Linked DNA regions of Alligator mississippiensis. The protein of the gene in region 3 interacts with the protein of the main gene of each other region in a pairwise test. Links are inferred from orthologs where the notes say so. Each region holds a gene or a part of one and is shown on either strand. Other genes may lie near its edges.

The links.
Region 1: the proteins of CREB3 (region 3) and HMOX1 interact in a two-hybrid assay, tested with the Homo sapiens proteins (2 studies listed by BioGRID and IntAct). The two-hybrid records come from large-scale screens. The link is inferred for Alligator mississippiensis from reciprocal best matches to the Homo sapiens genes CREB3 and HMOX1.
Region 2: the proteins of CREB3 (region 3) and CDS2 interact in a two-hybrid assay, tested with the Homo sapiens proteins (2 studies listed by BioGRID and IntAct). The two-hybrid records come from large-scale screens. The link is inferred for Alligator mississippiensis from reciprocal best matches to the Homo sapiens genes CREB3 and CDS2.

The regions. Positions count from the first base shown.
Region 1 is NC_081827.1:101,609,683-101,616,670, forward strand, and holds the start of HMOX1 (heme oxygenase 1), read right to left. Parts: upstream 3,011-6,988; 5' UTR 2,891-3,010; coding exon 2,859-2,890; intron 2,510-2,858; coding exon 2,389-2,509; intron 1-2,388.
Region 2 is NC_081830.1:25,945,095-25,952,764, forward strand, and holds the start of CDS2 (phosphatidate cytidylyltransferase 2), read left to right. Parts: upstream 1-4,660; 5' UTR 4,661-4,751; coding exon 4,752-4,835; intron 4,836-7,670. Other genes in the region: PCNA (proliferating cell nuclear antigen), read right to left, coding at 26-108, 243-366, 870-1,064, 1,852-1,919, 3,415-3,512, 3,825-4,045. UniProt on the Homo sapiens protein: Catalyzes the conversion of phosphatidic acid (PA) to CDP-diacylglycerol (CDP-DAG), an essential intermediate in the synthesis of phosphatidylglycerol, cardiolipin and phosphatidylinositol.
Region 3 is NC_081826.1:303,314,991-303,322,910, forward strand, and holds the start of CREB3 (cyclic AMP-responsive element-binding protein 3), read right to left. Parts: upstream 3,018-7,920; 5' UTR 2,936-3,017; intron 2,614-2,935; coding exon 2,437-2,613; intron 2,338-2,436; coding exon 2,091-2,337; intron 1,946-2,090; coding exon 1,836-1,945; intron 1,668-1,835; coding exon 1,590-1,667; intron 1,091-1,589; coding exon 984-1,090; intron 493-983; coding exon 424-492; intron 220-423; coding exon 135-219; intron 1-134. UniProt on the Homo sapiens protein: Endoplasmic reticulum (ER)-bound sequence-specific transcription factor that directly binds DNA and activates transcription. Plays a role in the unfolded protein response (UPR), promoting cell survival versus ER stress-induced apoptotic cell death.

The DNA.
Region 1 (6,988 bases), on a different chromosome or scaffold from region 3:
CAGATCTGCCCAGGCACTGAAACTGCAGCCTCAGTCCGCTGCTTTTGGAACTTTACATAGGGCTACTTGTTTGCTTTCACTTTGATCACCTGGAAGCTAGACAGCAATGTCTTTCCTCTGATAGTTGACTGCTGGTGTAAAAAAGGGACCAAAAGCATGTTTCCATCTCTGAAACATGATTTTCTGAAAATATTGGTATGAGCTGTGTGCTTGTTTCTTTATTTGAAAGTGGGTTTCTTTTCATCCCATGCATTGTCACCAGTAAGAAAGGATGCGTATGTTTACATAAGCACCATATTCGAACGTTGCCCTTAGTCAGTCTTGAAAGGCCTTAGTGAAGACAAAGCGGCACAGATGGCTCAGGCTTGTTTACAAGTTCTGTTGCTGGTATACAAACCAGAAAAGAAACTTGTTCATTCTCATGGACTGGCATTGCGTCTGCAGGACCGACAGCACTAAAAAGCAGTACATCTACTTTTGCAACCAGTCAACAGATAGGACTCCGAATGCACACACTTGTAAGCAACTTGGATGAGGAAGAAAGTGCTCTTTCTACATAGCCATTTTTCAGAGTAAATCTGTAAATTACAAGAAATGTAATACAGAAATATGAACCCATTAAACTCTAATCCTGTTCATCAGGTACTTGGAAAAGTCTGACAACAGTATAGATAAAATACAGAAACGGTACTTGAAGGAGCCTTAACTAGGTTAACTGATATTTTCCAAGCCAACTAAGACATCAGTGCAAGTTGTGTGTCTTTTGGTTGGGGCTGAAAAATTCAACCGGTGAGGTCTGTATTTAACAGCCCACCGTCACATCTGATTCTCTCAGACAGCACGTGAATATTTTAGAAACGGATCCTATCCTCTGGTCTCTGCAGGGCCTCACTGTCTGTGTTCCTATGAGCACCTTCTGGATTTCACTAGGCTATGCTGGATCTCTAGTGGCAGGAGTTCAACACCTAGGATTATCCTCAGGAACCGATGGATAATTGACTTAGCCTAGCTATTTCCAACACATCACCAGTATTCTCCTTTCCCATGCACCTATACTCAGAACAGAGACCAGCTCAACAACAAAGCACTTCCAGCTCAGTAATAAAGCATTTACACACCGGATCACCCACACACACACAACTTGACAATCCATGCGTCACTTCCTGTTGTTTAATAGGGCTTTCCAGCTTAGGTGGCTTCCCTATTTTTTATGGCTTTGGCATGTGGCTCAGGATTATTTATCCAGGGTTTGGTTTACATAGCATCTATAACTTGTTCTACTAGAACTGAACAAAAACAGTGAGCTCTTGGGTGTTTGCAACAGATAGAGTCCACTCAAATTCATGGGTGAGCTGAGCAGTTGCGCCCTCACATTCAGTACAGGACCACATTATAGTTCTTATATTGAAGGACAAAGTGCCAGAAACTGTTTTACAACCTGACAGACCTTGCTTTTAAAAAATACTTTTCAATAACCAAGTCAAGCTGTCCCAGTTTTATTAACCCTTATTACTTCTAATTTATACCCACTCAGACTGTTCTAATGCAATGGTGCTCAACCTTCCAGCCCCACGGGCCAAATGTGTGGCTCAGGGCCAGTCTGCATGCTGGATCTGGGCCTCACTGTGTGCGGGTGCAGCCTAGCACACCGGGCCACATCATCCTGCCTGTGGAGCTCTCCACAGGTCCAGAAAATTGGCAGCACGGGAGTGGCAAGTAAAGCTACCACCACTCTACCACTGCCATCTTTTTTTAATATGTGGGAAAACCCCCTGGCTGGATGACATGGCCTCCAGGGGTCCATCTGGCTGGTTGGCTAGAGGTTGAGCACCATCATGATTGTAATGAGTTCTTCACCTTCACTGGTGTTGTAACCTTTCATATGTTTGTATACAATTATACCACCATTAGACATCACTTAACCATAGTAAAACCCCTGGCATTCAGTTGCTTGAGTACTTCTTTGTAAAGCATTCCCTTGAGTTCTTTTATCTTCTTTATGCCGCCTTGGCAAGGCAAGGCTTATATTATGCCCCTCAGCCTATGCATCCTTTTATAGATGCCCCTCAGCCTAGCCTTCCAAGGCTTATATGATGCCCCTCTTTGCCATCCATCAAGACACGTACAACTCTACCACACCATTGGCAAGAGGAGCTGGTAAGACACTTAGACAGCCCTCGAGTTGCTTTGGGCCAAATGGTCATCTTATAAGTGACGTGATATTATGTGGTTGGGATACAAAGACTTTATTCCTTAAGGAGAAAGGAGGGCAAATGATACTCTTGGCACAGCCAGTCTGAATTAGGTATAGATAAATATTCCCAAAGTGCACCCCCTGCATCACCCAACCCTTTCCCTCACAGCCCCAAACAATGCTACCAGGAGTACCTTAAATTCCTGGAGTGACACTTCTGCCTTCTGAAACTTCTTCATGAACTCTGTGTTCTCTGCCTGTTCATGCACCTCCTTGGTGGCTTCCTTTATGGACTCTGACAGGTCTCTGGTTGTGCTGGGAAAATGGGCAGAAAAAGGTGTTAGCGTCTAAGGTACCTCACTATCCCCTGCACAATGAGAATTAGCTCTCTGGGAGCAAGTAAGGGGTGGAGGCCGGGAAGAGAAAGCAGTACCCCACCCCAGGAGGGCATGGGTGGCGGAGGTTCACCAGCATTCCAGCTTCTGTCCAAACAAGGCAGGGGACAGGGTGAAGACTGTCAAACCCTAGGTGGAGGGGAGTATCCTATTCCCAGTGGAGAAGAGGTAGAAATGGGACCCCAAATCCCTATCTCAAGGAACACGGGGAGATCAAGGCTGTTCCTTTCTTTGGATAATTTCCCTCTGTTTCTAGTCCCTTCGCTCACGTTTCAGGGCTGGCCGTCCTGGACGTTTCCATTTCTCTTTGCTTTTCTTTCTTCTCTTCTTTGCTCCTCTACAGCCTTCGTATGATCTTTCCCTCTTCTCCGTTCTCTCTCGTCTCAGGACTCTTGGAAGCTGCTGAGCTGAGCTGCCCGTCCCCTGCGTCCTGCTTTATACTTTGTCAGATCACGTGAGCAGCCCAGAAAACAGCTGGCCTCCATCCAAGTTTAAACTTATTGCGACATACATACTTTGCTACCAGGAGAGGGCTGAGAGACTTCTCCTAGGCAGCTTGCCCAGGCTTATTAACCCCTTTTCTGCTGTGACAATGAGAACCAGATAATCCAGAACAATAAATGGTCCAAGCTTCTTGTACATACGCTGACTTTCAAAAAAAAAGGGGGCTGGGGGGGGTCCATTTAAAGGAGGACTAAATGCAAATGAGGAACGTGGGCAAGGTCATTAGCTATCATGTTCCACAGCCAGCACAGCAAGTTGTAGTGTATTATGCGAGGACGGGGAATTGTCCCCTGCCCCATACAGAAGGCTGAATTATCCAAGTACATGTTAAGGACTTAAAAATTGATGTGCCAGGTCTGGGCCTGAGGTGGAGCTGGAGGTCTGCAAATAGTTCAAGTGACCTGGGTCTAGGGGCAAGAGTAACTACATGGCTCATTAATTGGCTGGCTTGTGTCTGCGACTGGTTTGTGTCTGCCAACTAACTTATCTGGGGAAATTAATAACTGGAAGTCAGAGGGCCCATGGGGGGTGCTTATCTCCAAATTTCAGAAGCTTGGCCTGTGACAATGAAAAATGGATCCACTGGCTTTGCTTTGGGGATTACGGTTAAAATGGGACTGCAGTTCTGCCAAGGAAACAGGGCAAGAGCCGCTTGACTTGGACTCCTAGCCTGCACGGTACCTGGCACTGATTACAGACTGCTCCAGTACTCTGGTGTGAAATTAGGCCCTCAAGAATTGTATGCCTTCATATGTTTTTGCATCAAGTGGAGTTAGTTGTCTGCTCAGGAAATATGATGCAGCATTTTTACAGCTGACTCAGCGGGGCCACTCTCCGACTACCCCTTTCTCTTAAAGCAACAGGAGCCTTCCAGAAAAGTCTTGTAAAGCCCTCGGCTTCCTTTCTCAGTCCTATATCTTTGCATTCTTCCTGCTGCTATTTTTCTGCATTGACCATGCAGGATAAAATAAATGTATCACACATATGCAGGTATAACATGCGTCTCTACTGAGATGCTGCATCCTTCACAAAGCCGGGAATATGCTTTTGATTTTGGATGTCCTGTGCAGTGATCAGAAGCTGCACGTGGAGAATCTGGAGAGACTCCGTGTCAGTGAAGGTGGCAGCCATGAAGTGACTATTCTCCTCTTGCATTATTCTCCTCTGGGACACAGAAATTCAGCTCTCTTCAGCAAGCCCCGGTAGAATGTGGGAAACTCTAATATATGCATTACTGTTGATAGAGTACATTTGCCTGGTATGAAAGAAACTCCTCCCTTTATTTTTTTATTTAAGTCTGTGATATTTGAAGGCATGCTGAAGAGCTGGCCTCTGCAACACTTCCTTATGGTCTGCCCTAGCACTATTTGCCCTGCCTCAGTTTCCAAAGGAAATTTTACTCACCTTTTTATCTTGACTCTTTCCTGGAGGATCTGACATGCAACAATACTGGTGCTACAGTTACAGGAAAAGTGCCAAGAGGCTGGACACTGCAAAACCAACTTAAGTGTTATGAACTTAAAGTGAACTTCAATGAAATGAAATGATGGTCCTGAGGGGAAAAGAGACTATGTCCTAGGCCTTTTCCCCAAGAGTTCTGATCCTCCAGGCTTTTACATTGAAGTACTTTACAAAAAACCAGTACTGTCTGTCTGCTTGGGGTCTGTCCCTCCCTGGGGCCTGCTATGAAGACCCTTTGGAGGAGAACCCTTTCACAGTCCCACTTCTGCGTTTCCCTTCTCCAGCCACGGTGTGCAAGCCCAGAGGATAGGCAAAGCAGAGAATACAGCGTTCTCTAAAAACTACCGCGTGACAAACAAGGGGTATTTGCCAGACCGGGGCACAGCTGAATGTAGGCTCTTGGTGTGAGAGGGAAAGGTTGACTCAGTAATTTTAGCCTGTAATGGAACAGAGAGAAAGCGGCTTGAATCCCTCATTAAAAGAGACACAGTAGAGGTGGCAACAGCTTCACAGAGTTTAAAAATCATTCCCCTAAGAACAGAAGCAAGTCTCATTGGGGAGAAGTGTTATAGCAACCCCAGCCCGCAATGGGCAATGGCATCATTGAGAGGATGTTAACAGTGCACAGACTCATTTTTCATTACCTACAGCAATATGGCCCAGCCTAGTTACCACAGATATGGTGCAGCTGTTGAGAGTCATTTAACAATTTCAGTTTAGAGATCAAAGGTGCGGTCTGAGTTGCAGAGCAGTGGTCAGAGTAGGAACTCTGAAAATATATGCTCCTAACATGTCAAGTATGCCTATATAGAGGTGGATCCCAAAAGCTTTGCACTTCTAGAGACATGGGAATAGAGTGCGGAGGGATTCCTCAGTTAGTCACTCTGCGTAATGGGTTTGCACAGCACAGACAAATTTCAAGGAAAAAGTGTTGACAAGGTGAGAGGCAAAACAATGGGAGTTTGCAGTAAAAAATACCCCATGCTGATGGCTATGCAGTCCAGACAGTGTATCCAGTGTGCCCGTAGGAATCCTAGTCAAGGAAGGGCTCCAAATGCAAGGAGAACTCCTAGCATTGGCAACCAGCCTGAACGTATGGTAACACTCATGCCAAGGGCTGCAATAAGAAATGCTCCAGAGGACACATGCTATGTATTAAATAAGTGGCCCTGGAAACCAGTGAGCTCCCCAGGGCACTTGGATGGTACACAAGGAGGTTACGTTAATTCTGCTGGTAGTGTGGTGGGAGTACACAGGCACCGACAAGCTCTGCGGGCACATACAGTCCCACTCGACTCAGGGCATACAGATCAGGAAAACACTAGCAAATCCTGCAGCACGCTCACTGTACCGACAAAGTCCCCCCATCTGTGGCTTCATCTGTTCACTGGTCCCTGTCGCTCCACAAACACACCAGGGGAAAAAAAACCACGGGCAGTGAGAGGACAGGAAGACAGGGCCAAAGGAAAATTACATATTAAATAGCAAAATAAGCCCTGCTTCTATAAACACTCCCACCTGTACTTAGCTTTTTGCTGATGTGTAGTCATTTTGAAGTCAAAAGTAGATGATTCCCATATGCAAGATGAAGAACATGCATAAGGGTTTTCACTACTGGGGGACCACATCCTTTGACAGCTTCACTAACAGGGACATTTTCTGGAAGACTGTGTCTTTCTCAGACTGAGGGAATCAGCAGGAGTTAGAAAGAAAGCTCTGCTTTACCACAGCTCCCAACATCACAAAAGGCTGTTGACCGTCCCATTCCAGTTCCTTCCAGTCAGCTTTGTTAGCTCTAAGGGGACAAATAACTTGCGTCTCCTTCCCTGCATAGTACATGCCTAGATTTAAGATAACAGAAACCAGCTTGCATGGAATAATTTCCAGAGCATTCTGAGGTCTGATTGTGTCCAGAATGGGACTGGAGCCAAGTCAAACAGCTGCAATCTCAGCCCAGGAAGCCATGAGATTGACACACAGGCTCACATGAGCGCCTGGCCTGCTGTGACTCAGCAAAAAAGCCCTGCCCGGATGGAAACAGTTACTCAGCATTCCAGGGCGTAAACCTAGGCTGCCGTGACTCAGCAAAACGAGGAGGCAAGCATGCACTTTTTGAGGCTGTTGAAAGGGTTTCTCAGGATAATCAAAAGGCTTGTCTCCTCCTCTGCTGTGTAAGCTTTAGGATTCGGCATGCCGTAGTTTGGGAGTCTGCAAAACAGCTGGAAATCCTGCTAGAAACCTGCAGTTCTGCAGTTCTAAAGCTGCCAGTGTCTCTAGTTCCAGATAAGCTAAATAAAGTGACTATTTATTGTACCCACCTAAATAGGGCATGCCCCGATGAGTGTGCACAAACAGGGGCACGCATTTCCCGCTGGACAAATAGCAGTGGAACATATTTGTGCTGCTGCTGGTTGTCCCAGCATGCCCCTGCATG
Region 2 (7,670 bases), on a different chromosome or scaffold from region 3:
TGGAACTTCCTCAGTCTGAGATCATTTAAGAGCCTTCTTGTTGATCCTCAATCTTTGGAGCCAGGTAGTATTTTAAGTGTCCCATATCAGCAATCTTGTACTCCACAACTGAGGAAAAGGGAAGAAAGACACCACAGGTAAATCAGTTAACTTGTAGCACCCACAAAAAAAAAGTTTAGTTTACAAGAGGGTCAAGATTTTGGAATTCAACTAAAAAAGTAGCGACAGCTGCCTCCTCTTACCAAGGGGAACATCTGCAGACATGCTGAGCGTTACTGTAGGCGACAAAGGAGTTGCTTTGGTAAAGAAGTTCAAATACCTCAAAGCAAAAGTCAGCTGGACTGCCTCATTCATCTCTATTGTAACCTAACAAAGATGTTTAAAAACCAAACAAAAAAGTTAAAACAAGTAGTGCACCTCTTGGGCAATCAAAGTTATTGGCTCTTAGCAGCATTTCTGTCCTCTTACCCGTTTGGATGGAGAAATTGTTTTGTGTTCCAGCTCTAAGCACAGCCTGGTACTAGCACAACTTCAGCTGAACCAGCTGTTCAACCCTAAGCTCTGCGTTTGCATAAATCAAGGATATTAGTTTTGCTGTAGACCAGCAACTTTTTCCTACCTCTGTTCTTTCAAACCCCCTTTAGATCAGGGTTCTGGAGTAAAGATATAGGAAATGCTCCATTATGTTTGCTGTAATCATTTCAGCCACCTTAGTTCTCTAAACCCAGAGAGACTCAATATATCTTTTATTATTCTACTTGTAACTTGTAGAGCGTGGCAGCAACAGATGTCATTTTTTATTATTATTATTATTATTTATTTATTTATTTATTTTTTTAAAAGACCTCTTAAAGGAAATCTCAACTTACAGCTTCTTCCTCTTTATCAACATTACTGGTCTGGGACAGTTTGATGTTTCCACTTCCTAGCTCTCCATTAGCTGAAAATTTGACACCATCTTTTGCACATGAGATAACAACTGCATCTCCAATATGGCTTAGATCTCTGCAGATGCGTGCAAATTCAGCTGAAGGCATTTTCACAACACAACTGTATTCTTGTTCCTGTAAGGAAAAAAAGAACAAACAAAAAAAAACAGAAACTGGTCTCAGATCATAGGTCCTCAAGGCTGAACTAAATAAGGCATGTTACAGCTTAAAAATTTACAGTAGAAGATTTCTACTCCTTATGAAAAAGGAGAACAGCATCTCAAGGGTTGTAGTCCTCATGTCTAGGACAAATTCACTTGTCTTACTTGAGGAAAAAGATAAGCCTGTTACTTAAACTGGTAAAAAAAAAAAAAAAAAAGGAGGACTTATTTAAATATCTTCTATACCTTTAATCTAATATGCTTACATAACATCCTTTGAAAATACCTTAAGTCTGTGTTTATAAAGAATAGACTGCTGAACTGCATTATGGCAAATCTGAATACCGAACTTTACTCAAGTACTTCCAGAAAGCACTGGGGAGCCTACTCCCTTTTGAACCACCTCAAAACTATGAATAATCACTTGTGAGCTTTACCTTCAGTGGGCATAGCCAACAGGGGTCAATTAGTGCACCTCTCTTTGTAAAAGGAAGTGCTTAAAAAGGTAGGTTACAAAACGCACTGTCCTCCTGATCATGCATTTGAGAACTGAAGAGCCAAGTCAACCACTATCCACAGTGATCACCACTTCAAAAACTCTAGGCTATTCCTAATGCTTCCCATGGGCCATCTTAAAACTATCCCACTGAGGTGAGGAACTGGGAACACAGAAAATTTTAGAAGCCTTCAACATTAACATTTTACTCTCACTTATGAGTATTAGCAATTAAATTTAGCTCAGACAAAACAAAATGGCTTACTGGGATGCCAAGCTGTTCCACATCCAAATCCATTAGTTTCATCTCATAATCGGAGACCTTTTCTTGATCTAGGAGAAAAACATCAAAATACATCTGTGTGTTTGGTGAAGCAAAGTTAAACCTGTGTTTTGCAGTTAGATCCTCTTAAACTTTTACACAGAAAAGAAAAAAAGTGATATTCATAGATTGTAAGGCTGGAAGGGACCTTGGAAGATCATCAGGTCCAGCCCCATGCACCAAGCAGGAAAGATAACCGAGGGTCAGGTGACCCCAGCAAGGTGACTGTCTAGTCTCCTCTTGGAGATTTCCAGGGTAGGCAATTGCACCATCTCTGGAAGGAGCTTATTCCAGGCTGGACACCTCAACTGAAGTTTTTCCTAATGTTGAGCCTGAATCAATCTTCCAGGAGTTTGTGCCCATGACTCCTAGTTTTCCCCTTGGGTGCCCTATCAAACAGCTATGAGCATGCCACCCCACCCCAAGTCACAGGACACAAGACATTTCTTGGTGCAACTACACAAGTATCCATAAAAGCTTCTGGTCATTTAGATGATCGTCATCTACTGTACTCAGCTAAAAAAAATAAATAAATAAATAAATAAATAAATAAATAAATAAATAAAAAAAGTATACACATCACACAAAGCTTTTGAACTAGGTACTAGCATAAACCAGATGAGTGGTTCTCACACCACCCCATCATGGCGAAGGGCCTTGACTTTGGATGCCACTTTATTTTGTACAATTTCAAAGGCTCATCTGTATACTACAGTGCTCAGCTGCTTTCAGGAGAACCAATCAGTGAAGATGGAGAGGAACCAGCCAGACAGAGACAAGCCTGAGCCTCCAATTATCTAATTATATCTGCATACCTCCAAAATATCTGGCAGCACTTCAACACACTGCGGGACCCTGGTTGTGACTCAATGATTCAAGTGTTCACTTCCAGCCTCATCTGCCTATTAACTTAATAAGAGGCACTCATTTTAGTCTTCAAGTAGTGCTGCAAGTTCAAAAACTGACACTTTTTTTTTTTTTGAGGGGGTGTTTATTTTTATGCGCATGTGAGCTTTTAAGTGTTTCCTACCTTTGCTGAGGCAAGGATTTCATAGGGTGATCTCTTTGATTAGATAAACAGCACAGGATAAGAGCTAGACAAACTTTTGGAAGCAAGACATTTATCAGGCCTCCTGCATCCCAGCTGTACAGTTGGCCCAAGAGATGACCTTACAAAATCCCTGCCTATCACCTCATTCTCAGACCCCTGCAGCTCCAACATGGCTTGAGGCACCATACCTGTGAGGACTCATCTGACTTCTTTGCTGCTCATGTGACCAGACTCTGGAACTGATTCCCAGCGGAGGTGGTGCAGACACAACCTAGAGATCTTCACAAAAGTTTAGGGCTGGAAGGGACCTTGTGAGAACACAGGGGTAAAGGAGACTAGATGCACACCCTGCAGGGGTTGTTTGAACCCAGTAGTGTTTCTTGTCCAGGGGCTGGACCCAATGATCTCATGAGGTCTCTTCCAGTCCTAAACTTCTGTGAAGTACAGGTACTTACTTGGGGCCTCGAACACCAGGGCCAGGGTGTCTGCATTGTCTTCTGCTCGCAGCGTGATGATGTCTTCGTTGCCAGCACACTTCAGAATTTTGGACATGCTGCAGCAAGGGCTAGACTAGTTAGACCAGCCCAGGCAAGGCATCCTGACCCACCACATCCACTCTTCCTCCCCCCAAGCCCTGCAAGCCGTTTCCAGGCCAGAGGAGCAATGCACTGCAGGGGCCACATCCACCCTTCCCCTTCCCACCAGGCAGAGCTGCCGAAACTCCTCCCCCCGCAGGGGTTCTTTCCCGCCACTGCGCGCGGGAAAACCCTGAGCGCGGGGCGCCGGCGTGACGTCACCGCGCACGCGCGCGGCACAAACGGGACAAGCGTTGCGCTCCAAGCCCCCACAACCGCCCCCGTGGCACCTGGTCAGGTTGACGCCCATAGCGATGTTACGGTCGCAGCGGTAGGTGTCGAAGCCCTCGGAGCGCAGCGTGAGCTGCACCAGTGAGACGTGCGAGGAGTCCATGCTCTGCAAGCTGATGCCGCCCGAGCCCAGGTCCCAGCAGGCCTCAGTGATGAGGTCTTTAAGCGCCTCTAGCACGCGCTTCAACACCGAACCCTGCACCAGCCGCGCCTCGAACATGGTGACGAGAAAAAGCTACTAGACTGCTGCTTCTCGGGGCGCGCCAACGGCTCTCTTTATAGCGCCTCTGACCTCACGTCCGGGTCCCGCCTCCCCGGCTTCTCCACCAATCGCAGCAACCTGAAGCCCCGCCTCCTTGCCGCCAATCTACCGATCCGTGCCCACCAGCGGGATCGTGCGCGAAAAATGAAAGCTCCTCCTTCCGGCCAATCAGAGCCTGGGAGTCACCGGTAGTTCCGCCTACTTGGGATTCTGGACAGAATCCCGCCCACGTGCTCTGCAACCGCCAATCCCCACGCAGGTAACAAGCAGCGCGTTTCCTCCCACCAATCGAGGCCGGCCTTACAACCCGCGTTGTTTCACAAGGCTGCGAGGGTCGGCTGCTCGGCCCTGCCTCTGGGATGCTCCCAAAGCAAGAGTGCCGTGCCCAGGGGCTGCTACAGGGAGCTTCACGGCGTCTGGGGGATGGCTCATGTACAACCGCCATCGGCGTACGCCTATCATGGCAGCCACCACAGGCCGGGGAGGAGGAGGAGGAAGAGAAGAGTTCCTACATCCGGGTCAGGAGGGGCAGGGCGGGGCGAGGCGAGTGGCCTCGCCTCCTTCCCGGCTCGCGCTGCTCCCATTGGCTGCGGCGGCGCCAGGCGGATGGAACGCTGGGGCCTGGGCGCACGCGCTGCTGCTGAGGTTCGCAGCGGGGCTCAGCATGAGCGAGCTGCGGCAGCGCCTGGGCCGGGAGCCCGACGACAAGGTACCGGGGCGGGGCCTGGCGCCTCCCGCCTGCCCGCAGGTGTAGTGAGGGCTGCTCGGCCCGACCTTGCGGAGCGCGGGGGTTGCAGCGGGGCGGGGCAGCGGTGCAGTGCAGTGCAGTGCAGTGCAGTGCAGTGCAGTGCAGTGCAGTTCATCTGGGTTTGTATGTCGGTACAGCTCGGGTGGCTGGGGCGTGGGAGGCACAGCCTCAGTGCATCCCTGCCTGAGCTGGGCCATGTAAGCGTTTGCTCCCCGGGCGTAGCTCCCAGAGCCCAGAGGGATCCACTGCCAGGGCACCACTAGTAATGTGCCAAATGGGTTGTCAGCTGCACCCTAGGGGCCAGCTGGCTAGGGAGAGCTTGCATGTTGACTTCTGTATGCATAAATGCTGGTAGCATCACACCCTTAATTTCCAAGACCAAGATGAAGATGTTTTAGGGAACCAGGCTGTAGCCAAATTCATCTCTCCTCAACTCATTAATTCCTGTGAAGTAAAACACTAACTGTTTAGCAAGGCATTTCCACTCTCTTTGGCTGCAAGACGCCACGTCTAAGAGCGGGTACTGAGTTGCCATGGGATTGGCCCAGCCTGGTGCTTCTGGAGTCTCATGGGACTTGAGGCCTAAACCATTGTTAAGATGGGGTGAGAGAGCTGTTCTTTCACTGTACGCTATTACTGTACGTGCTTCTGCCAAAGCCCAATCCAGATGCTTGGAGAAATAGAGCTAAAAGGTTGGCTGTCCTTCACTAAGTCATTTGCACTCTCACCCTCTTAAAGGGTGCCCCTTGGAAGATGTGAGCAACTAAAAGCATGGACTTTCAAGGTAAAAGTCCTATTTTGAAAAAGTCTTTGGGGTTCTTTGCCATTCACAACCCTATGGGCCTCAGGAATCAAGCTGAGGGGGAAATTGTAATTACTCTTGGCTGTTTCATGCTCTTACCTTGGCCTTGTCAGCTACCATTTGGCTTGCATTTATGTTAGAACAAAGTTCTGGTTCTAATTCCAAGACAGCAGTGGAGTGCTTCAACCACGTAACCTTGAAAAGGTGAAAAGCTTTCTGTGTCAAGTAAACATCAAGTGATCACTTGAAATTCTTTTGTTTTTTTTCTCAGCCGAAATCTTTGCATTTAAAATTACTTAAGACATCCTTTTTTAGCAGCTAGCGCAAACTGTAAAATAAAGCATCATCCTTGGGTCTAATTACTTTCTTGGTTGCTATACAATTATAGAGCTGGAAGAAATGACTCTAGAAAATGGGATTGCTGGAAGCTTAACTTTTGATGAAGATGTAAAATGCCTGACTGCCTGGTAACTTGTAAAGCTTTACGGTGTTTAAATTTACCGACTTGGTTTAGCTTTGCTTTTCTATATTAAACAAGAGTGGATGGAAACTATCACCCTCTTGATAATTGACTGTTTGCACTGCATTTTTGCACTGTAGCAAGGTGACTTAACTCTTCCTGTGCCTGAAGAAGGATGTTTGTACCTGAAAGCTTGCAAAGAACAATTTTTCCAACTATAGTCTAATAAAAGATATTGCATTTACCTAAAGAACCTTGTCTGCCTATGTCCTTAGACCAGTACAGCTACAACCAATAGCCCTGTTGTATCCTGGTACTTTTGTGGGAGTTGGAATGCTTCCTTGGGAGCATTGGTATTGCTCAACTGGTATGCATACTCTCAGCAAGCAGAGTTGTCTTAGCTATGTGGGACACAGAAGGCCAAAGGGCTGTTTCTTAAAGTCTGATCTCATCAGACCCAAACCCCTGATCTCATCCGATGCATTTTTACATACAACAGGATTCCTTTAGTTAGCATTTAAGTAATGCATCCAAAATGCTCTCCATACAAGTTGGGGTTAACTGAATATCCTAAAATAATTTGAACAAACACAATGCACAGGGCCAAGAATTACATCAGCCCCACTGCCCTCAAACAAAATGTTGAAGCAAACCCCTCTCCTTCATATTCCATCGCTGACCTGCTGCCACTGACTGAATTTTGTATTCAACAGAACATGGTATAGAATAGGCAGCAAAGAACATCCTGAAGGCTGAAGTTGGAGTGGAATGTAACTGTCTGAACTGCTGAGTTGGCCAGTATCTCTCCTAATAATAATGTATTCCTTAAAACCGCACAGGGTCGGGGTCTAGGATTAGGAACTCTTGGAGGCTAGCATTGTGTTGTCTTCTGGTGTCTGCAAAGTGTCTGTAGCATACTGTGGGCATACCATCAATATACAAGACAGCAATTCAGTGAAACCTGTGCTGATACCTTAAGCCACTAGCAGGAGGTCTTCTTGAATTTTATCAGGGATGTCCCCTGTTCAGACATCCTTGTGAGTCTTCCTTTACTTACTTTGTCTCCCAGCCATAGCATAGCCAATAATATTAATTCTAGTACAGTATGCCTGTTATATTTCACAGCAGGGGAGGCTGCTTTCAAAAGGACACTGAATTTGTAAAGAGAAACCAAAAAGAATGCACTTGGTTTCATTTTTTTAAAATAAATTGTTCTGTTAGTTTTAAAACTAAAACTGGAAAATTCTTAATCTGGCTTTTCTGCCTTAGTTTTCATTTAGCTCATCTTTGACAATGGAAACAGGAAGGTGTGTTTCATTTTGTGGTGCTTCTTTTGCTAAGGTAGTGCACTAGCTGTGCTGTTGCCCTTTACAGTGCTCATGGGATTGTGTAAATGCGAAACCACATGAATGTTACTGAAATGAAAACCTCCCCTTAAGGTAGCTTGCAAAAGAAGTTCTGACTGTAAAAGGTCAGCATTATTTTACTCTTCCCTTCAGATCACAATTTAACATTTGATTAGGGAAGCTTGAATTGTGACTGCTACCCTTGGAATAAATAGGATTTGAGTGAT
Region 3 (7,920 bases):
CCGTCAGCTTTGGCCCAAGGCTGGGGACCGAACGCTGCTGGGAGCCCTGCGCCCCTGCAGGAGAGAGTGTGTGGGCTGGCAGAGGCTCCCGCGGCACAGGGGACAGGCCCTGGCCTGGCTGTTGGGCCACTCACCGCGATACAGGTACTGGCTGTGGTAGTCTTGGTTGAGGACTGTCGCACCAGGGCCTGGAGCTTCCGCAGCTGCTCCAGCAACGACCTGCAGCAGAGCAGGAAACGGGGTGAGCACAGCCGCAGCCCCGGGCCAGGCCAGCCTCCTCCCATCCCCCCTGGTCCCGTAGTTCCAGCGTGCCTGGCAAACAGGCTCGGACTGTTCTGCACCAGTCGCTGGTGCTGCCCTGCAGGGGCTCAGGACCACAGAGGGCCCCGCTGCCCTTGCCAGGTGCTCACGTTGGGGACTCACATGTTCTGCTTCTGCAGCAGCTGCACCTTCTTCTGCAGCTCGTGGTTCTGCACCGTGCAGGCTACCACCCTTCCGGCAGGCAGGGGACACAAGACAGCACATCAGCCAGACCAGACTTGGGGGCTCAGCTCAGCGCCTGGGGGCTGACGGCGCAGGGCAGGAGGGCCCGGCTCCTTGCACATGACTCGGCCCTCCTAGCACTGGGCTCCCAAGGTCTTACGGGGGCAGGGCCCTTGTGCTAGGCACCTGGGAGGAGCCCCCAGCTGACGAGGCAGGGCAGGGCTCCATGGGACGTGAGCAGAAGAGGCGGAGGCTCCCAGAGGAAGAGGGCCTGGCTCTCCACAGCAGGGGCTGGGCCCTCAGCCACAGGAGCAAGAGCTCCAGCTGCCCCGCAGGGGCAGCATGGCAGCTGGGCGAGGCTGTGGGGCTAACAGGACCTCCTATGGAACTGCTCCCCGTGCCCCAGGTCATGGATACAGCCCCTACTACAGGCGCTGTGGCAGGGGGACATGCCCACATCACTGATGCGTGGCTCCCTCCGCCCACGCCGGGCTTGGTACCTGCTCTCCAGCCCATCCACATAGATCTTTTTGCGCCGGCGGCTGTCCTGGGCCGACTGCTTGTTCCGGATCTTGCGACGCACCCTCTTCAGCAGCCGCTCCTCAGCCTGCAACAGTCACTGCTGTCACTGGCCGTGCCCCCGGCACCAAGGCAGGCAGCGAGGCTGGACCCTGGGCCGTGCAGCCACTAGCCCGCGGCCAGCAGGTACCTTGCACAGGCAGGGAGGCGGACAGGGCAGAGCCGCTAGCCCTGGCCCCCGGGACAAGGCTGGCTGCACACAGGCCTGGCAGTTTAACGGGCCGGGCAGCTTCCATCCTTCCGCTGCCCGCTCCCTGCATGAGCGCAGCGAGGCCCCTCGTGACAAGGTGACGCCTTGGCTGCCAGGAGGGCGAGGGGCAGTGGCTGCAGGTCCAGCACAGCAGCCGGCTGGGGGCAGCCACAGGAGTGGGGCCAGCAGCAGTGGGGGCCTGGCCCCCTGCCCCTTCCAGCCACCGAGGCTGAGCCACGTGCCACGGCCCCGGGGACTGGGGCTGCTGCTCAGCACTTGTGCCCACACCTGAACCCCTGCCTGGGGAGGGGTGCGGTGCCAGCGGGCAAGGGCTCACCTTGGTGAGGGGCAGGTGGGACGGCAGTGTGACGCCATCTTTCTCCAGCAGCTGCCTCTCCTCCTCCGTCAGGTCCAGCTGGAGACGAGCAAACCCCAGGGTAAGGAAGGAAGCGCCAGGCGGGGCGGGCGCCGGGAACCAGGACTGTCCCCGCGCAGGAGCCTCCGCTAGTCCGCGGTACCCGACAGGCCTCCCCGCGGGCACCTGCCGGCCCGTCTGCAGGACTCCTGGGAGCAGGGGCTGTACCTGCGTGGGGGTCCCAGGCACGACGTCCTCCACGGCCACGGCCACGGGGAAGCTCAAGCTCTGCTCGCTGCCCGAGGTCTCCTCCGCGCTCTCCAGCCCGGCCCACGCGTCTGGGAGAGGAGGGAAGGGGTCAGACGACCCCCGCCCCACGGAGCCGCAGCCTCCCCCACCAGCTCCTGGGCCCGGGGGCTCGGGGCAGCCCCGGCCGCAGCCTCCTGCCCCTCGCGGCTCGGCGCGGGGCCGGCCCGTGCGCACCCAGGTCGATGAAGACGTCGCCGTCGGCGGGTCCCGCGGGCGCATGCTGCAGCCACAGCCCGTCCCGCAGCAGGGAGTAGTTGTGCTCGAACTGGACGCTGTCGGGGCCGGGGGGGCTGCCGGGGGACGCGGCCCGGCTGTCGGGGCTGTGCGGGGGCTGCTGCGCGGGGGCCGAGCAGCCCGGGCCCTCCGCGAAGGGGCTCAGCAGGGCGCTGAGGAAAGCGTCCACGTCCTCGTCTCCCGGGAGCTGCAGACCCCAGCGTCAGCGTGGCGGGCGGGCGGGGTAGGGGTAGGGGTAGGGGTAGGGGTAGGGGCCGCCCCGCCCCGCCCCGGGGCCCAGCCTCACCTCGGGCTCCAGCAGGCCCCAGGCGCCGGGGTCGGCCGGCAGCTCCGCGCCCTCCGCCAGCAGAAAGTCCAGCAGGTCCCGGTCCGCGTCCGCGACCCCGACCCCGTCCCCGACCCCGACCCCGTCCGCCAGCGCCAGCGGCGCCCGCTCCGCCGCCGCCGCCACCGACACCGACATCTGCGCGCGCACCCGTCAGCGGGGCCGGCCACGTCCGGGGGGGGAGGGGGGGCGGGGCCGGCCCGAGGGGGAGGGGGGGACCTGGCCCGGGCGGGGGGGGCCCAAGGGGGAGGGAGAGGGGCCCAGCCACGGAAGGAGGGGGGCCCGAGCGGGGCGGGCCCGGGGGGGGGGGTCCCGGGCGGGGCGGGGCGGGGCGGGACCTGGCGCTGCCGCCTGCCCGCGGCCCGGACGCCGGGGATCCTGTCTGGGGGGGGCACCTGGGTCCCCGCCCGGGGGGTGCACGCGCCTGGGCTCCCGGCCCCGCCCGCCCGCCCGCCGGTACCTCCGCCGACCCCGGCTCCGCAGCTGCCGCCGCCTCCTTCCAACACACCAGGAATGACGTCAGCGCCCGCGGCTCCCAGCACCCACCGCGCGGCCCCACGAGGGGCCGGAGCCGCCTCGAGCCTCCATTGGCCGCGGCGCTGCCCGCACCCAAGATGGCGCCCGATTGGCCTCACCCCGCCCGGCGCCCTCACTGCGCCGGCACCATCGAGCGCAGGGCCCAGAGTGGCCGTGGGGCGGGAAGCTGAGAGTGCCGCTCTGTACCTGCCCTGTGCTGCTCCCAGCCCCGCGTCCGCCCCGCAGCGCCGCGCAGCCCGCGGGCCAGGTACGGGGGGGGGAGGGGGCAGATGTGCGTGCCCGCGGAGCGGGGGGGCAGATGTGTGTGCTTAGATGCGTGTCCCCAGATGTGGGCGGCCAGAGCGCGCGCCGCAGGGGTCTCCTGCTTAGGCGGGCGCCCGGGGTGGGCGTGCGGAGGGGTGCCCCTAAGAGGTGTGCGCGGCAGGGCGCCCCGCGATGTGCGGGGCGGGGGGCGCTGGGCGTGCGGGCCCCCAGGCCCGGGCCGCCCCGCGCTGCGCAGCCCTCCCTGGGGTCCCCGTGCGCGGCGCCCGGCTGTGCCGGTGCCCTGCCCGGCCCTGCCCGGCCCCTTGCCGTGCCGCCGTGTCAGCCGGGCCGGGCCGGGGCGGGGTGGGGCCCGCTGCCTCTTGGCAGGAAGCGCAGCTCGCGGCCGCCTGCGGCTCCTGCTCGCTCCGCGCCCGCCCGCCCGCCGCTTCCTTCCTCCGCCCCGCGCGCAGGCCCTGGTGGCGCCCGCCCGCCCGCCCGCCCGCCCGCCGGCTCCGGCTCCGGGCCCGGGGCACGGTTTTGTGCGACAGGTTTGTGTGCGGGGCGGGGCGGGGCGGTGGCAGCAGATGCAGGCCGGCCCGGGCGGGAGGACACGGCGGAGCCCAGGCCTGGTGCGGTGCGGTGCGGGTGGGGGGAGGCGGCGCGCGCGGGAGCCCCGGGCCGGGCCCCAGGGCGGGTGCGGGAGGGGCCGCACTTGGTGCTGGATCCCGCAGCTGCCGTTGGGGGGCGGCGGGGGGGCAGGAAGCCGTGCCAACGCCCGTCCCGGGTGTGAGGCATCCTGACTCGCGGCTGAGCCATGGTTTGGCGGCGCCGCGGGGGGCCTGCTGCCCCCTCCCCCGCGGGGCGCGTGTAAGGAGCGTGGCGCACGTGGGCCGGGGCCGGGGGTGTTGCGGTGCTCGGCTGGGCCGCCCTGGCGTTGTTGGCACCTGGGGCTTTGCCCCCTGCTCTGCCCCCTTCCCTGAGACGAGACGGCCTGTCTGGGCCGTGGCTGGGGGCGGGGGTCCCTGCCGTGGAGCCCAGCTGGCTGTGGCCCGGGGGGCCGAGCCGTGCAGTGTCTGGCTTAGCGGGTGATGAATGGACGTGGCCGCGGGGCCTGGCAGCGCGGAGCTGGGCGCTTTCCATTTTTAGTCAGTTGTGTCCTGCAGCTCTTGCTGCAGGGTTCCTGGCTCCCGCCCGCTCCCTGTGCCAGCCCCAGGTCCGCAGCGCTGTGCTGTGTAAGGCTTCCCGGTCCCATGCAGCTGCTGGGCTGTGAAACCACCAGCGTTTCCTGGTCCCTGCCCCAGGGAAGGGATCTCCTCGCTGCGGGAGGTCTGCTGCTTGCCCTCCTGGCATCCTCCCGGCTCTGTGGCCCTGACCTGATGAGACCTGATGACTCTTCGCCTTCACGCCTTCCCCTGAGCTCTGTTGCCTCGTGGGGCTGGGGGTCCTGGCAGTACCTGTCCTGGGGGTGCCTCTCCCCTGCCCCAGTTGCGGGTTCACCCCATGCCCACATTTCCTGAGAGCTGGAGTGTTTCTTTGAAGGCAGCTGCCGGGCTGTCCCCAGCACGTGCTGGGGCCCGGGGACTTCTGAAGGGGATAGGTCGCAGGGGCTGCCTGTCTGTGGGCAGAGGGGGAAGCTGCCTGGGAGGGAGGTGGGCCTGTGCTCCAGGCTGAAGGACAGGCAGATGCGTTGGTCTGTGGGCAGCGGCTTCGGGCCCCGACATGCCCTGCAGAGCGTGGCGGGGCCTTTATCTCGAAGCCCTTCCTGTGACAGCGAGGCGCCAGGTGAGGCGATTGATAGCTTCTCTCAGATGAAGGGCTGGGGGTGCATTTCCACGTGAGGGGTCTGGACAGGTATGTGAGCCTGTTTCTGACTGCTCCTGCCTGGAGAACGGCTGGCCGGACTCAAGGCAGCAGGTTTGCTCACGGTTGCTCCTCTGTATGGGGGCACGGTCAGGTGGGCCAGCCGCCGTCGCCTTGACTAGAGCCACGTCCCGGCTGCGCCCCTCTAGGCACAAGACCCTCTCTTGTATGTTGGCACGGCTGCCCCGCTCCGCTGCGGCTGGGCTTTCGGAGGGGCGCCATCCGCCAGTCCCTTGGCATGCTGTTTGGCTCTTGTTGGCGCTGGCGCCTGTGCAGACATGAGCTGTATCTCCATGGGCAGGAGAGCACGTGGGACTGCTTTGAGCTCTGCGGGGCAGCGCGGGGGCAACGGTGCTGTGCCACCAGAGCTTTGCCTTGCAGGGCTACAGGGCAACTGAGGCAACTGCTGTGGAGCCATCAGCAGTCCTGTCAGCTGAGGCAAGTGCTGCCCCTGCATGAGTGCTGAGCCCGCCTGTGCCCCCCAGCGGGGGTGAGGTTGCGCTCCCCTTCGCCACGTGTCAGGTAGAGTAGCGCCTGAAGTGTCATGCTGCGCATCGTGATGTCTGCCTCGGGCTTGCTGTCCTGCTGCTTGTGCAGGGCAGGAGGCAATGCCATCGCACCAGCTTGGCAGCGTCGGATGCCTCCTGCCCCTCGTGCCCAGCTTTCAGGCCCTCCAGCAGAGGCTGGGGTTGCTTTCGCTTGCCCACGCTTCGTGATGGGGCCTTGGTGGTCCTGGCCTGGAGTTAATTTTAATCTTCTCCTCTACAACGGGGCTTGGCACAAAGTGACCTGGTGCCTCCAAGTGAAGGCTGTGAGGACTGTGTGGCTGAAGAAAATTGTGCAAGGCAAGGGCCTGGAAGCAGGGAGCATTGGCCCTCATGGGCAGGGGCTTTCCCGCTGGCCTGGGGAGGGCAGCTTGGCTCAGGTACATGGGGCAAATCCCATGGGGAGGAGACGGTGTCACCAGTGATCCTGTCCCAGGTGGGGAGACTCCGTTCTGTTAGTGACGGTGGCGCCTGGTAGGGTCCAGACTGGCTGCCTCAGGCACACATGCTGGTCTCCAGCTGGGGAGTGGTGCCGCTGCGGACCGCATTTGACCAGAGCAGGAGGGGCTGCTGTCCTGCAAAGCCCTGGGCCTCCCGGCGGATGGGCAGTAAGCCTGACCCTGTGGGCAGCTTTTGCTCTTGGTTGGGCTGGGGTTGGGTTTCCTGCGCTCAGTGCTGATGAAGTGGCCTGTGTGGGACTGGAGGCTGCTCCGTGCTGGTCCTGGCAAGGCTGTGGCCTGCCGGGGCTGCCTGGGTCACGTGCTGCTGAGCTCCCTCCCCAGGTCAGAAATGCTACCCTGGGAAACAGGAAGGAGCGAGTCCCGTGTTGGAAGCAGCTCCGTGTCTCGTGCCTGGGGTCCGGGGACAGCTCGGCCAGAGACCTCTGTGGTCTCGGTGCCCCACTACGTGCTCGGGAGCCGGCCAGCGCAGAGGGGCAAGGAGGAGGTGAGGGGCCAGGACTGCCATGCCTGCAGGGAGCCTCGTCAGGCCAGACCACCCCAGTAGCCATCTGAGCCCCTGGTGCTTGCCCCTTTTGGGGTCTGACACACCATGCCATATGAGCCATTTGTAGCTGCCAACTCGGCAGGAGGGACGTTCCCAGCCAGTGCCCTGACGCCATGAGAGGTATTAATAACCACTTGTCGTGGTGAGCCAGTTCCAACCTGGCCAAGTTCCCACTGGGTCTCAGTGGGAGCCGAAGCCAGCGTGCTGCACCCGACTCATACCTGGTGCATCGGCACATCCCCTGGGAGGGAAGGGCGGGCTCCAGGACGCTGGCGGGTGCTGCGCCCAGCATTGATTGGAGTGACTTGCCCGGAGCCGCAGTGGGGAGCCATGTCAGGGTAGGGCCCAGGCCGGCAGGCTCTTCCTCCAAGGTCTGCACTGCTGCACGTCCATCCCCTCCCTCCCCCAGCCCCGCTGGGGGCACGTCTAGGGCAGGGTTGGCCTGGGAGCAGTCACTGGCCAAGGAGATACAAACATGCAGGGCAGCTCTGCAGCACCAGTGCGTGTGCCTGGGCACCGTTCCAGAGCAGAGCCCTCACTCCCATCCTCCCTGGTCCTGCTGCTGAGCTGCCCCCAGAGGCTTTGGGTACCAGTGGAAGCTACTGCTGATGGGGCTGGGCTGGTGTGGGTGTTGGAGCGCTAATCCCCAGACAACAGGCCGATTGTGCCCAGAGGAGAGGGCATGGGGTGGAGCACATAACTTCAGTGCCTCCCCAGTGCTGGCGTGCCTGGCCGTCCTGGGGGAGGGGAGACCATGGGACAGCAAGGGGACGCAGGCCGAAAGGGGAAGTGCCATGCTGCTGCTGCGAGGAGGAAGGGCCCGCGACTGCAGACTGCACTGTGCTGCTCTGCTGTCGCGGGCACGTGGGGTGGGGGCGCTCCTGGGGTGTCGGGGCAGCGCCCCTGCCTGCCGCAGGCAGCCTGTGCTGTGGGGAGCCCGGCAGGTCCCGCCACGCGCTCGGGGTGGGTCGTGCTTGCAGAAGGGAAGGCTGAGACTGCTCCTCCTGTTGCCGCTCTCAGATCTCCTGCCCCTGCGTCGCTGTGCCCCGGCTGGAGCGCGGGTGAGGCCCTGCCGTGGCTGGCGGCTGCCCGACGACCGCTGCGGCAGGCCGGGCCTTGGCCCGTGGATGTGCCGGCAGGATGTCGGGATGCCTGGGCCATGGCTTCATCCCGCTGCTAATTCCATATTTGGTAGCAGCCACTGTTTACTCCCTTCTCTCGCTCCTGTGCTCCTTGGGGGGAGGGGACATGTTTT